Coturnix japonica: one gene and its partners. The protein of the gene in region 3 interacts with the protein of the main gene of each other region in a pairwise test. Links are inferred from orthologs where the notes say so. Each region holds a gene or a part of one and is shown on either strand. Other genes may lie near its edges. The genes, in order: UNC119, PDE6D and ARL15.

Region 1 (4,126 bases), on a different chromosome or scaffold from region 3:
TAAATGACAGCTCACGGAAGAGATTACTTTCAGAAATGATTAAGCACGCCTTCCTTATTTTTAGGCTTTGTTTTGTAAGTGTTTCCAAGTATGTCATCAATCATTTATCCAACCTCTCGGTTTGCTGGCATCAAAAGGAGCCCTTAGGATGAAACCTAGAATAGTAAAACTTAAGATAAGCCTTATCCCAGCAGCACAGGCAAACCGTGCAGGTGCCCAGTGCTGTGCTCTCAACCTGAAGCTTGCCCTTGGTTATGCATCAGTTGGACAACTGGCATCGTCACGTGGCAATAGGGGACGGCACTGCAAATGCTGTTATGCCATCCTCCTGCTGACCACCCATGGCTCCCATCCCAAAGCCAGACAAAGAAATCAAAGCTGTGCTGGAATTAACCTCGCCTGCAGGCAACGTGGGAGCAGCACAGCGTGACCTAGCAAACATTCAGCCTGGTCGAAGGTATCGGGGACAGTGCTCGGCTCCTCTCCCTGCCCCACAAGGCAGGACGTCGGCAGATGCACACCCCAATAATTGCAGACACACCGCTCTGATCCTCCTGCTGCTGCAGTAATTAATTGCAATTTGAACTGAGCTCTGCCCTGCTCCCTTTGCTAATCCCCAGTTAATCGCGTCACAAGGTTTTCCTCTTTTTGTAACCACAGTTGGATGAGCAAGTAACAAATCCTGCTAATTGCAAAGGAAACGGGCCTTTTGCTTTACACCTAAACCCAGCCCTACAAAAGACCCACATGCACCAGGGCAGCACCCCTGGGTCCATCAGGTTTGACCTTAGCATCATGTAGGATGTGACACTGGAAGGACACGGCACAGATACGCAGCACTGCTTGCACGCTCCCCCTTTAAGCTTATTAAAAAGACATCAGGAGGAGAGCCATGAGCAGTAGAATGGGTTCAATAGTGAGAGCTGCTGCGGTATTGGCCTCGAAGTTTGGATAAAAATGAGTTATCTGGAACTGGGAGGGATGTTTGTGGCACTGCTGCAATTCCCAACCATCAGCTCCTGTGTCAGCTTCACGTGGGCTGGAGCACCTGGATCTGGGCATCAAAACAGGGGTCAGAGGGATACAAAGGGCTGTGGTCATAAGTTGGGATGACTTGGTGGTACAGGCACTAAGGTTTGCAATGGGAAGAGTTCATTCAAGTAGTTTTAAGAGGAGAGCTTTACTAAGAAGGGAAAAGTGGAAGAGTGGGAGAAGTTTTAACCCCGTGTCTCTCCATCCAACAACCTCTGATGGTCCTTTTAGTGCATCCCAACACATATCACCACTGTAACACCCTATAAAAGCCATACATGACCATGATACCACAAAGTCCTTGCCAGCTCCTCTTATTCTCCTGATGTTAAAAGGAGGAATTACGTGCTGATCTTTCTCATGGTCCAAGGAGCATTGCATTCCCCATGCCCTCTACCCCATATATCCTCCCTCCAAATTCCAGCCAGGCAAAGGCTCCACCCCAGACACTGCCCTAACTACGGGCACCAAGGCTGCATGCTGTACACACCAAGCTGCGAGGAGAAAGAATGAGGAAGGAGTTGTATCTGGGCTTCCATACAAACCTACAGGGACCTATACACCAGAGATAGGATGGCACACAGGTCCCTTTGGATCACAACTTCACACCTCCACCGTAAGCTTGAGCAGAAGCAGAGTAAGACACTGCCTGAGTGCAAGAAGAGGCAGGAGAGCAGCTCTGCTGCCCATGGGGCGATCAGCTCAGCCTTCCTGCACACAAGAGCAAATAGCAGCAACAAGGCCAGGATGCCCAGAGTTGAATCCACATGAGGTCTGCGTGCCCCATGAGCAAGGGCAGGGGGTGGCCACGTGCCTGCAGCCCCCCAAAGAGGGCACAGCTGCATGCAGGGCCACGTGGGCTCCCAAGAAGCAAAGCACTGAGCGCAGCCATCGCTGGGACTCACCATCCAACTGCTGCTCTTCCAAGCGCGCTGGCAGCACGCTCCAGTGCCTGCTGCTCTGATTGCTGGGCCTGGGCAGTGAGTCACAGCCCAGCATCTCAGCAGGGAAACAGAGACACAACAGACCCCCCAGACCAGCACTATCTGCAGGGCTTCCTCCCCTCCTTCCTTTCACCCATCCCTGTGCTGCTCAGCCCCCAATACCCACAACCGCATCCCTTCTTTCTGGGGCTTCTCATGGCACAGCCCTGCCTGCAGCATCGCTCCTGCTCCAAGCACAGCCACCCATCATTGCCCCCTCCTCCCCTGCAGAGACACAACACACACGGGGGTATAGAAAGGCTCTTTGGGGGGTGGATAGGAGGACACTACCACAGCCAGGTTGGCCTGGAGCATGTGCCATCTCCCAGCCCAGCACGCTGCAATCCCAGCAGAGCACAACAGCCCCTCCAGCCCCACAGGATGCTCTCAAGACCGCAGCAATACTATAGGGGTGGAAAAGGGGAAACCTATTGGGAAGGCTGCAGGATGGTTACAACACTCCTCCCATTGGATCTGTGACCCCATCCCGAACCCCTCCATCCCTCTCTTCCCCCCGCAGCTGTGGGGTTCAGCCTGGCCCACCCATAGGACGGGCACAATGAGCAGCATCCCACGTCCAGCCCGGCTTGCAGTGGGGGTCCCACTCCGCAATGGAAGCACCCCCTCCCCAAGCTGGGTGTCCCATCCCACCCAAATTGCCGCCCCATCCCTCACCCGACATCACCGCGGTGCCCCCCCCCGGCCCCGTACCGCTGGTGACCCGCTGCAGCCCCAGCACGTCGTCGGGCCCGATAAGCGCTTTCCGTCCCAGCTCCTCCTCGGTCCGCGCTGCCGCCCCCCCGGCCCCGCCGCTCTTCTTCACCTTCATGGCCCCTCCGCCTCCTCCTCCTCCTCCTCTACCTCCGCTATGAGCGGCCCCGCTCAGCGCTGCCGGCCCCGCCGCACCGGGAGGGGCAGCGCCGCCCCCTGCACGGCCCGCCCCCCGCACGGTACAGCCCAGCGCCGCCGGCAGCACCGCCCGGCATCGCTCCCAAAGCCCCTCATCGCATCCCGACAGCATCGGGATGAACGTGCTTGTTTCCCCCGTACGACCCCAAAAGGGCTCCCCCAATACGAGAGCTCCCCTGTTAATGTGCCAAAGGGAAAAGCTCGACCCCAGTAATGTGTCTCTAAACCAACGCTCACAGACCCCATTCATAACTGCCCACCAACAGCTGAACCCCACCAACCCCCTTCCCCACCCCCACTTGGTGCTATATGGGCTACGTACCTTTAAGACGGGACTCAGTCCAAAGCAAGAGGTGGCCAAAGCCCAGAGAGTGGGAGAGATTCACACAGCCCCCACAGCACAACAGGGCAGGATTGGGCAGGGCAGCTCTTTATTTACACATGAACACAGCACGGGGCTGTGGGGTGCATGCAGGTCACCCTCCCTCCCCTCAAGTCTCAATAAAGAGGGGGGTAAAGCAGCAGTTCTGAGTGGAGGGTGCAAGACTCTGTGAGCACCTGCCTGCACCGTGATGCAATGCACTCTATGAGGTCCCAGCCCCAAGGCAAGGCACCGTATATGGGCTCAGTCCATCTTGGTGGGCTCCTTCTTGCTCTGCCTGGCTTCTCGGAGCATCTTACCCAGGGAGAGGAGGATTGGGACAGCCATGGGCAGGAAAAGAGGGATATAGATGGCAAATTTCTGATCATCCGGGAAGTAAAGAAGATGGAGAAGAGAAGGGTCAAAGAACGCCCGCTCCGAGCAGGTGACAGCTTCCTTGCTGGCCTGGAAAGCTGAATGCAGGCGGCCTTCAGCCAGCTCTGCCACGGCATCCTGCACTGCAGCCACCGCTCGGTATACCTGCATGGGAACAGCACAGCAGTCAGTCCTCAACCAGGAAGCACCAGAGAAGCAAAGCTAAGGGGCCTCGTTCCTGGGCAGTGCCCCACTGCTCTGCATGGGGCCAGCAGCTCCTGACCCCTCCACTCCCCACATCAGGCTGTACCAGTCGTACCTCGGAGGCGACGTCGTCTTTGATGACGATGTTACTGATCTGGTCCAGCAGCTGCGCCAGTGAGGTCAAGGTGGTGGACACAGTGGCAATATTCTCCAATGTATGGGCCCAAAGCAGGCGGTCCAGCTCCCAATCGGCCACTCCTTC
Region 2 (4,411 bases), on a different chromosome or scaffold from region 3:
TACTTAGTACCTTAACCATGCTACAAGAGTCAGCTGGCTTTGCTGAACTCCTTTCTCCTTGCTGGTTAGAGATCAATTAAAACACCACTCTGCAGTTTGATGGAGAAACTGCCCCAGTTCAGGAGGAAGCTACAGAGGGAGTGACAGAGCACAGAGCAGAGTCAGACCGAATGCACTTGAGATTACAGGACCAGCTGTGTATAAAAGCTTGTGGAAATGAAGCTCAGTAATTACTGATGCTTTCCTTTGGAATATTAGCTAACTGAACTGGTATTACTTATGGACAAGCAACTAGAATGTATTCTCAGAGTGCCAGACCACCAAGATGCTGTATTTTAAGCAGCATCCTTAGAACAGTGAGTTGATGAATGTACCTGAGAGGTCTGATAACAAGTACTGTCTCTTAGGAAGTGACAAGCTATAGAAGATCTTGATGGTTGCTTTCCATCTCTTATCGTAACACATTAACTACGCTGTTGGTGTTTAGTTTACTGGTGCCATAAAAAAATCCTAGTGTAATAAAGTGGGAAACCTCTTTTGTCTGCAAGTATCAAATATTTCTCCTTTCGGTTTTCATCTTCTTAAGTAACAAAGTCTATGGGAAGAGGGAGTAAAATACCCTGGTCTGAATTTGACGCTAGCCACAACATGCTTCTGTGCTAGTGTCATAAAGGAAGGGAAGCATATCTTGGTGCTAAGTCAGAGGGTGGATTTAGGCTGTAATTTAATGTGCACAGCAGCATGTCCCAATCAGCTTGAAAGCCTGTAGTTAGTCTCTTCTCAGAAACCACAAATGAACAGACTTTAGTTGAGGGTGCTCCAGTACTCAATGCAAACTCCATTTCCAAAGTGTGTGTTCTTGCATTCAAGTGAGAAAACTGATTCCTCAGTGATGCCCTCTACCAAATAAACCTACCTTGGATATACTTATTTCTTTTTATGCCATACCTAAAGTACTGCTGTGATGGCTTCTGGTGCTAACAGCAAGTTTGCAGGGTGTGCTCCTTCCTTCTTGGGAGGAGGAAGAAGTTCAAGTACTCCAAATATAAACCTGAGAGCTTCCCGGAGGATGTTTCTCTCTTCCTTTCTTATTGAGGGCACCAAGTTAACACATACTTCAGCACAGGGAGCAGAAGATAAAGCATCTCTTTCAAATGTACTGTTTTAGAATACACACTGTCAAAAAAAGGAAGCCTGAGCTGGTGGCTGCCTTACAGAGAATGAGGCCACATCTGGGCACGAACTGCTTCCTGTGTGGATGCTGTGGTGTCTCAGGGCTTTCTCTCATAAATGAGGAATGCCTGCTCTGTCACTTTCCTTCTAATACTTGCATATTATTCAACTATCTCAACTCAAGAAATCCCATCTATGCAATACATCGATAAATACTTTCCTGATTTTCCAATCTGAGCTATTGAGGTTTACCTTTAACACCAGGTCAAGAAACATTTTCTATTTAAGTTACCAAACAATGGAAGTGATTTTTCATCCATAGCTGGACACAGACCTTCATTCAGATTCTGCTTCTGGCAAAGCACGTGCACAAACCAGTAGAAACAAACACGTGAAAGTCTGTACCTTAAGTTTAACTCTCCAACCCTTCTCATCTCTACCAAAAGCTCAGTCTCATCTTGTCAGGAGCTTATGCTTTTCCTAATTACTCGCACAAAACACGCTTAAATTGTGTTTTGACAGCCAAAATCTTACAGCTCCACAAACAAAAAGAACTGTCAATATTACCAGTGCAGAAGCAAAGGAACCAGCTGCAGAACTAAAAGCTGGGGGGGAGGGGACAGTGATTCATAAGTTCAGCAAAGCATCTGCCAATAGTTTGATAGCAGCTGAATCCAACTGAGTAACTCAGATTCTGCTGCAGCTGGCACAGAGATTAGCAGCACCTCGCTGGCCAAAAATATGCTCAGGAATAACAGCATTGGAGCAAGAGGGGTATTCACTTTGGTTCTGTCCTTTCATTCGCTTTGGTTCTGTCCTTTCATTCGCTTTGGTTCTGTCCTTTCATTCGCTTTGGTTCTGTCCTTTCATTCACTTTGGTTCTGTCCTTTCCATTATGGGGGGAAAAAAAATACAGCCACTGGTTTTCTTGCCCCTTAAGGCCAAGCTGGCACCTGCCCACTATGCGCAGTAGAATCTGCTACGGTAAAATCAGCTGTACACATCTCCCACCCTTACACACACACAGACCTATGCGCTGAGCCGTCATTCCCCCCCCCCATCCCCAAGGTTGCAAGGCCGCACTCAGGACCCTCCGCTCCCACTTCTGCTTCACTGCACCGGCGTTAAACTGGTGCTCGCCCAGCACGCCAAGCGACAAGGCGCAAACTTTCATCGCGTACCGCAGACAGACGCGTTAACAACCGGACTCGGGCAGCGCTGACGCCTCAGGGCCCGGCACGACGCAGCAGTGCCCGCTCGGAGCCCCGCGCTGCCCCCGGCCCAGCGCCCAGAGGGACGGACCCGCAACGCGAGGCCGAGAGGGGGACGCGACACAACAGCCCCGTGTGTGGCAGAGCTGCCATGACAACCGCCCTCACACAGGGAAACCCCGGTACCCAGCCACCCCCCCCCTTTTCCCCCAGCCCCGCCCGCCCCCCCCTCGCTCCCCCTCGGTGAGGATACAGCTTGAAGCCCCTCAGGATCTCCTTGGCCCGCTCGTCCGTGGCCGACATGGTCCTGCCGCGCCGCGCCGCGGGCTGGGCGGGCTGAGCGGGCTGTCCTGGCTGCGCGGGGCCTGGCCGGGAGCGGCGCTGACAGCGGCGCCTCACGACCCCCCGCCCCGCCCCCTCGCACTCCCTCGCACCCGCCACCGGCCGAGGCAGCCAATCCCAGCGGCCGCTCTCCCCGCCCCGACGGGACAACCAATCGCGAGCCGCCGACGCCCCTGCTGGTTGATGAAGGACAGCGGGATGGACCAATCGGACGGCGCGTCCTCCCCCTCCGTTGATATAAGGGCGGCTGCGCAGCTTGTTAAGGCGCTGGGCCCGGCCGGGGCTGAGTGACGTCGGCGGGGACGGGAGGCGGCGCGGGACAAACCTCGCCCGGCCCCATTGGGGACGCGTGTCCGGTGCCGGCCGTTCGTTAATACGTTAACACGGCTTATAACAGTCTGCGTGCGGGACGACAACTGGGGGCTCCGCGTACACTGCCACAGAGCTCCTCAACAGCACTGCCACGCTGAGGAGAGAGAACCGCGAGGCGTCGAACATACGAGGGCACAGCCTATGAGTGCCATTAACGGCACAGCCTATGAGTGCCATTAACGGCACAGCCTATGAGTGCCATTAAGGCTGGCGGTGGGCAGCGCTGACCGCCCCGTTAGCTGACATGGAGCAGCCTTGTTGTGTTCTGGATAGCCCGGCGTTACCCAGTGCGTCCAGAGAAGGGCAGAGAACGCTCCCGAAGAAAAGCTGGCAGGGAGACAGGGAGAGCGCAGGCAGCAGCAGAGCTGGAGAAGGCCAGAGCGAGCGGTTGTGTGTGAGGGAGAAGCCTGCGGGGCAGAAGTACAGCATGCTGCTCTACCCACAGCACAGGGGGCTCCGAACCGCCCCGCTTAGGGCTACAGGGAGGTGGCAGCCAGACAGAAGCGGCTCTCGCAGCGAGCAACGGCAGCGAAGGGCTCCTGACACGAGAGTGTGCCCTGATGTCGGTGTTGGGGCCTTTGTGGTTCTGACATGGGTGCCCAAACTCTCCACGCTGTGTGAGGAGGTACGTGCTTGGCAGCCTCTGCGTCTCAGCTTCAAAAACCACCCATTTCCCCTCCTAAAACTAGGGAAGAAGCGTGTGGTGGGACAGTGTAACTCAGGAGGTTCAGGTTGGATATCATGAATAGGTTCTTCAATTAGAGGTTGGTTGGGTGCTGGAGTTCAAAAAGCACCCGCGCAGTGCTGTCAAACACATGATCTGAGTGGTTCTATGTGGAACCAGGAGTTGGGTTCAGTGGTTTTTATGGGTCTCTTCTAGTTTAGGATATTCTGTGATTCAGAGTGACAGAAACCTTGAGTTCTTTCCTCTCAAAATACTTTCTCTTGCAAGAAAATTGCAGCAAGTCTCACTATTCCCTTGAACCATTTTGTTCTAAAAACCTCACCTTTGCTTTTACACCTCTGGCAGGCATCACAGTCTCTGAGCTGTCACTGCAGGTGAGGAGACACCTCCAGCCTCCTTTCTGCCTCCCCAAAGCACATTGCAATGCTCTTCTCCAAAGGTACTGCTACAAGAGCTTGTGTCCCAGGGAGACGGGCTCATAAGCTGAGGTCTTCTCCCATCTGACACTTGATGGAAGGGGTCAAACAACTGCATATGTGCCACCATCCAGATGTGTCTTTCTCATGGTCTGCGTGAAGTGAGAGATGGTTAGCCTCTGGATCCTGGGAAATGTAGAGTTTAACAGAGT
Region 3 (3,617 bases):
TGAAAAACATGACTCGAAGAACAAACAAGATTTCACATGCAATCTTTAATGTGAAGAGTCCTTTAAATGGCATTTACAAACAGAATGACACAACTGAATTTCTTCTTGTAACTTCAGAAATAGAGGCTCTTATGATGAATAAACAACTTTCTGCATTTCCTCAATGATAAGTGACTTCATTGGAAAGTATCAATGAAGACTTCTTTCAGAAACGTAAAAGCAAATAGTACACTGAATAGAAAAGATACATGATTTACCAGATGGGGGATACAAGAGAAAAATATTACTTCTAAAAAGAAGAAAATCAGAACAGGTTAAGAACTTCAGAAAAAGAACTGCAACTATGCCCTCACACCAGTTTATAAAAGTTAAGGTAAAAAGCTTTTATGTAAAAGGCTCCTCACGACAGCCAACAACCTATTGGTTTAAGCAATTTCAAAGAATGGAGTGATGGGACAGACTAAAACTAATAGCAAATAAATACCAACACGCAAAACAAACAACAAAACACCCATAAAATACTGTCATAGCAGCTTTTGAGAAGAGTAGTTTAAATTTTTTTATACCCTGAAGCAAATCACAAAGAAAATGCAGGAGAATTCTGTTTGTATCCTAGTACTTCTTGTTGATAATGCACTGGAATAAATCCTTAGTAGCAGGGAGAGAGAAGGATGACTGAAACCAGTCCTTAACTAGGACATCAGGGTAGTAAATAATAACGGGTCAGCAGTGTGCAGACAGTAAAAACAAACAGGCCAGGTAATGTCACGATAACGTACCTCTTGTACAGAGCGTGCTGCTGGTTTGTCTTGATGATTGGCCAGTATTAAAAACGGCAAAGTACATAACTGTGGGTGCTGGAGAGCTGAATGTAGTTCATTCCTAGCAGTTTCTAGATCGTCTTCAGAGGAGGCACTGTCTAATACAAATATTACCCCTTGGGATCCTTGGTAGTAACGACTCCAGTATTTCCTGATATTGTCAGCACCTTTTAAAACAACAATAATAACTAATTAGAACAAATATAATTGAACACCTTTAAAACTTGTAATTGAAAATAATGCTTCAATTTGTAACAATCAAAGCAATCAACTTTTTTTTTCTCATAAATATACATCATTGAAAGAACAAGGGAAAAAGAATCCATGAAGCTGGCGCACACACACACGCACACACAAACGCACACAAACTAACATCATTTAAATACGGAACAAAAGTGACTAAAGGCCCTGAAAGTGTCTGCTCTGTAAATAAGCACTAGTAGAATTACTACACTAATCCCACCTAATCTCGGCTAATCCCATACTTTCTCACTGAAATATCCTGATATAAACACATGAAGAAGATGGCCTTTTTCCATCCATTCTACCTTAGCCCTATAGCTGTAAACTGCAGTTTCCTTCTTGTCAGTTGTTCGCTATTAAGTATGATAAAGTCTTTCATTTCACACCTCCAAATGTTCAAATACCTTGTAATCAAGGAAAAAAGGTGTCAGGAAAGCCTATTAAAATTACAATTACATGTATAATGATAAGGAAGTTAATACACTTGTGACTTGAATAGCGAGTGATAAGGTGGTAATTTTCAACAGTATTCATTTCAACTATTTTGCTCTGTCAGCCACACTGCAGATTCTGGAAAAGCCAGCCCCACAGTACACACGGTGAATGACTACAGGCTTATGTGTGACAGTAAGTCTTAGGGCACAGTTCAGCAGCACTCAGTCAACTCAACAGAAGCCAAGCAATAAGGTTATATCTAGAAAGCTTTTGTGTACCCTGGAGAACAGCATATGTTGTAATGCTAAGGTAGGGAAACAAGATATTTGACAGCTGTCAAACTATCTAAATTAAATTTGGACACAGGCTACTCTTTGTGTGTCTGAATCTGGCACTAGACTCATGGGGTCTAGCATTAAAAAGTGAACATCAGCAGCAGTACCCTAGGAGAAAGCTTGACATGTTTGCAAGACTGTGATTTGTAGAGATGTGCTGAAGGTATCCTTCGCAAACACCACAAATCTTACATAACTATAGGAAAAAGTGAACTTCAGTTTAGACACAGATATCAAGTGCTGATAAGAAAACTTTATTTTTTGGGGAAATAAAACAACTGCCACAGATATTCTGACCAACATGTAGTCACGGAACGATAAGGTAATGTAAAATAACTACTATAACACTGCTATGATACTTAAAATATTCCTTTAATTTGTACAACTGAAAAGAGCTACTAGAAAAAGGTGAAAACTTATTTCAGAAGGAATTCACACCATATCCTTTAAGTATCCAACGTAGAGTATTCAAATCTCACTCCACAGAGTTACTCCCTTCTCTGTATTCATGACACTGGAACCTCAAGCAGCCAGGCTCTGTATTTTGTGCTCAGCACAATTTAGGTGGCTAATAAACATTGTGAATACTGTGCTTCATCGATAGCTGCATGAAGCTATCTTTATTTTCCTCCTTTTCAGTACTTTCAGAAAAACAGAACACAGCATCATAAAAAACAAACAACAAAAAGGAACTCAAAGGTCTCACATTTGTTAGCTGTCAAACTTCCAGCAAGTCTCCATCAATAGCACAACAAATGTCACAGAGCTCTTGTTTCAAGGTAGATGAGTCTGTGCATGAAAGCTTCTACTAAAGTGAAGTTCATGGAAATTTATATATGTCTGTGAAAAGTGAGTTTGATCCACTTAGGTGTGTATATTATGTGTATTATACTATCATCTTAAAGTAAAACACGTGATTTAAAATAATCTCTGTCTCTAGTCATGAGATTTTACAGATTATTTTAAAAGGACAGTCAGAAAATACATGCCATATATCACATGCTAATATTTATTCAATTCCATATCTGAAGTTTTGATAAATTGTAGTAGGCAGAACCACAGTGGACTGCATTTTATGTCTGACAGCTGTTCTGAAACTCACTCGTTTCTTCTTCGCTCTTTCTCTAGAAACACAAATACATTGTCTTCTAGGAGAGGGAATCATTGAGTGGTTTCCTCTCTTCCTATTATTCCATCTCCACCCTCCCTCCACTACCCTATGGAGATACCATAGAAGTTCAGATTGCAGAAACAGCAAAGCAGCTTCCCAGGCTGAATACTGCTACCAGCTTATCTAAGCTGAGTCACCTTCAGCTACAGCACCCATGATCTCCAACGGAAAGCTCTTTATGCGTCTGTCTCTACAGCAGGCATATAAAGAACACAGTAAGTCTACCACAGCTGTGTTATTTCTGTCTGTCTAGTCCTTCTGCTGACTAGCTCACAGAAGTTTGAATCAGCTTTAGTCTTTGAAAGGATCAAAGCTATTTCTGGCTTGAATCAAAAAATCGAAACTTCTGGAAATGAGAGTTGTTTAATAAAGTGTAAGTATGGTTTATGATGATAAACTAGGATGCTAAACTTCCCTCCACCAGTTCAGCCTTAACAAAGCAGAGTTTCATATCCATTAGGAGAAAGAGCCTTTTTAGCATACCAAGAAGTTTCGATTTTTCACAAAAATTCTATTCAACAAAAACTAACCCCCAAAGCTCTGTATAGCAGGATAAGCACATGCTCACATCTCCTATTTGGTTCAAGTAAGATAAGAGATAGTCCATTCACA

What was found.
Region 1: the proteins of ARL15 (region 3) and UNC119 interact in binary tests that used the Homo sapiens proteins (3 or more experiments, as listed by UniProt). The link is inferred for Coturnix japonica from reciprocal best matches to the Homo sapiens genes ARL15 and UNC119.
Region 2: the proteins of ARL15 (region 3) and PDE6D interact in binary tests that used the Homo sapiens proteins (3 or more experiments, as listed by UniProt). The link is inferred for Coturnix japonica from reciprocal best matches to the Homo sapiens genes ARL15 and PDE6D.

Annotation. Positions count from the first base shown.
Region 1 is NC_029534.1:4,517,966-4,522,091, forward strand, and holds the start of UNC119 (protein unc-119 homolog A), read right to left. Parts: upstream 2,901-4,126; 5' UTR 2,845-2,900; coding exon 2,727-2,844; intron 1-2,726. UniProt on the Homo sapiens protein: Involved in synaptic functions in photoreceptor cells, the signal transduction in immune cells as a Src family kinase activator, endosome recycling, the uptake of bacteria and endocytosis, protein trafficking in sensory neurons and as lipid-binding chaperone with specificity for a diverse subset of myristoylated proteins.
Region 2 is NC_029524.1:13,401,833-13,406,243, forward strand, and holds the start of PDE6D (retinal rod rhodopsin-sensitive cGMP 3',5'-cyclic phosphodiesterase subunit delta), read right to left. Parts: upstream 2,805-4,411; 5' UTR 2,688-2,804; coding exon 2,638-2,687; intron 1,076-2,637; exon of another isoform or gene 1-1,075. Other genes in the region: COPS7B (COP9 signalosome complex subunit 7b), read left to right, coding at 3,343-3,723. UniProt on the Homo sapiens protein: Promotes the release of prenylated target proteins from cellular membranes. Modulates the activity of prenylated or palmitoylated Ras family members by regulating their subcellular location.
Region 3 is NC_029547.1:17,911,108-17,914,724, forward strand, and holds part of ARL15 (ADP-ribosylation factor-like protein 15), read right to left. Parts: intron 989-3,617; coding exon 780-988; intron 1-779.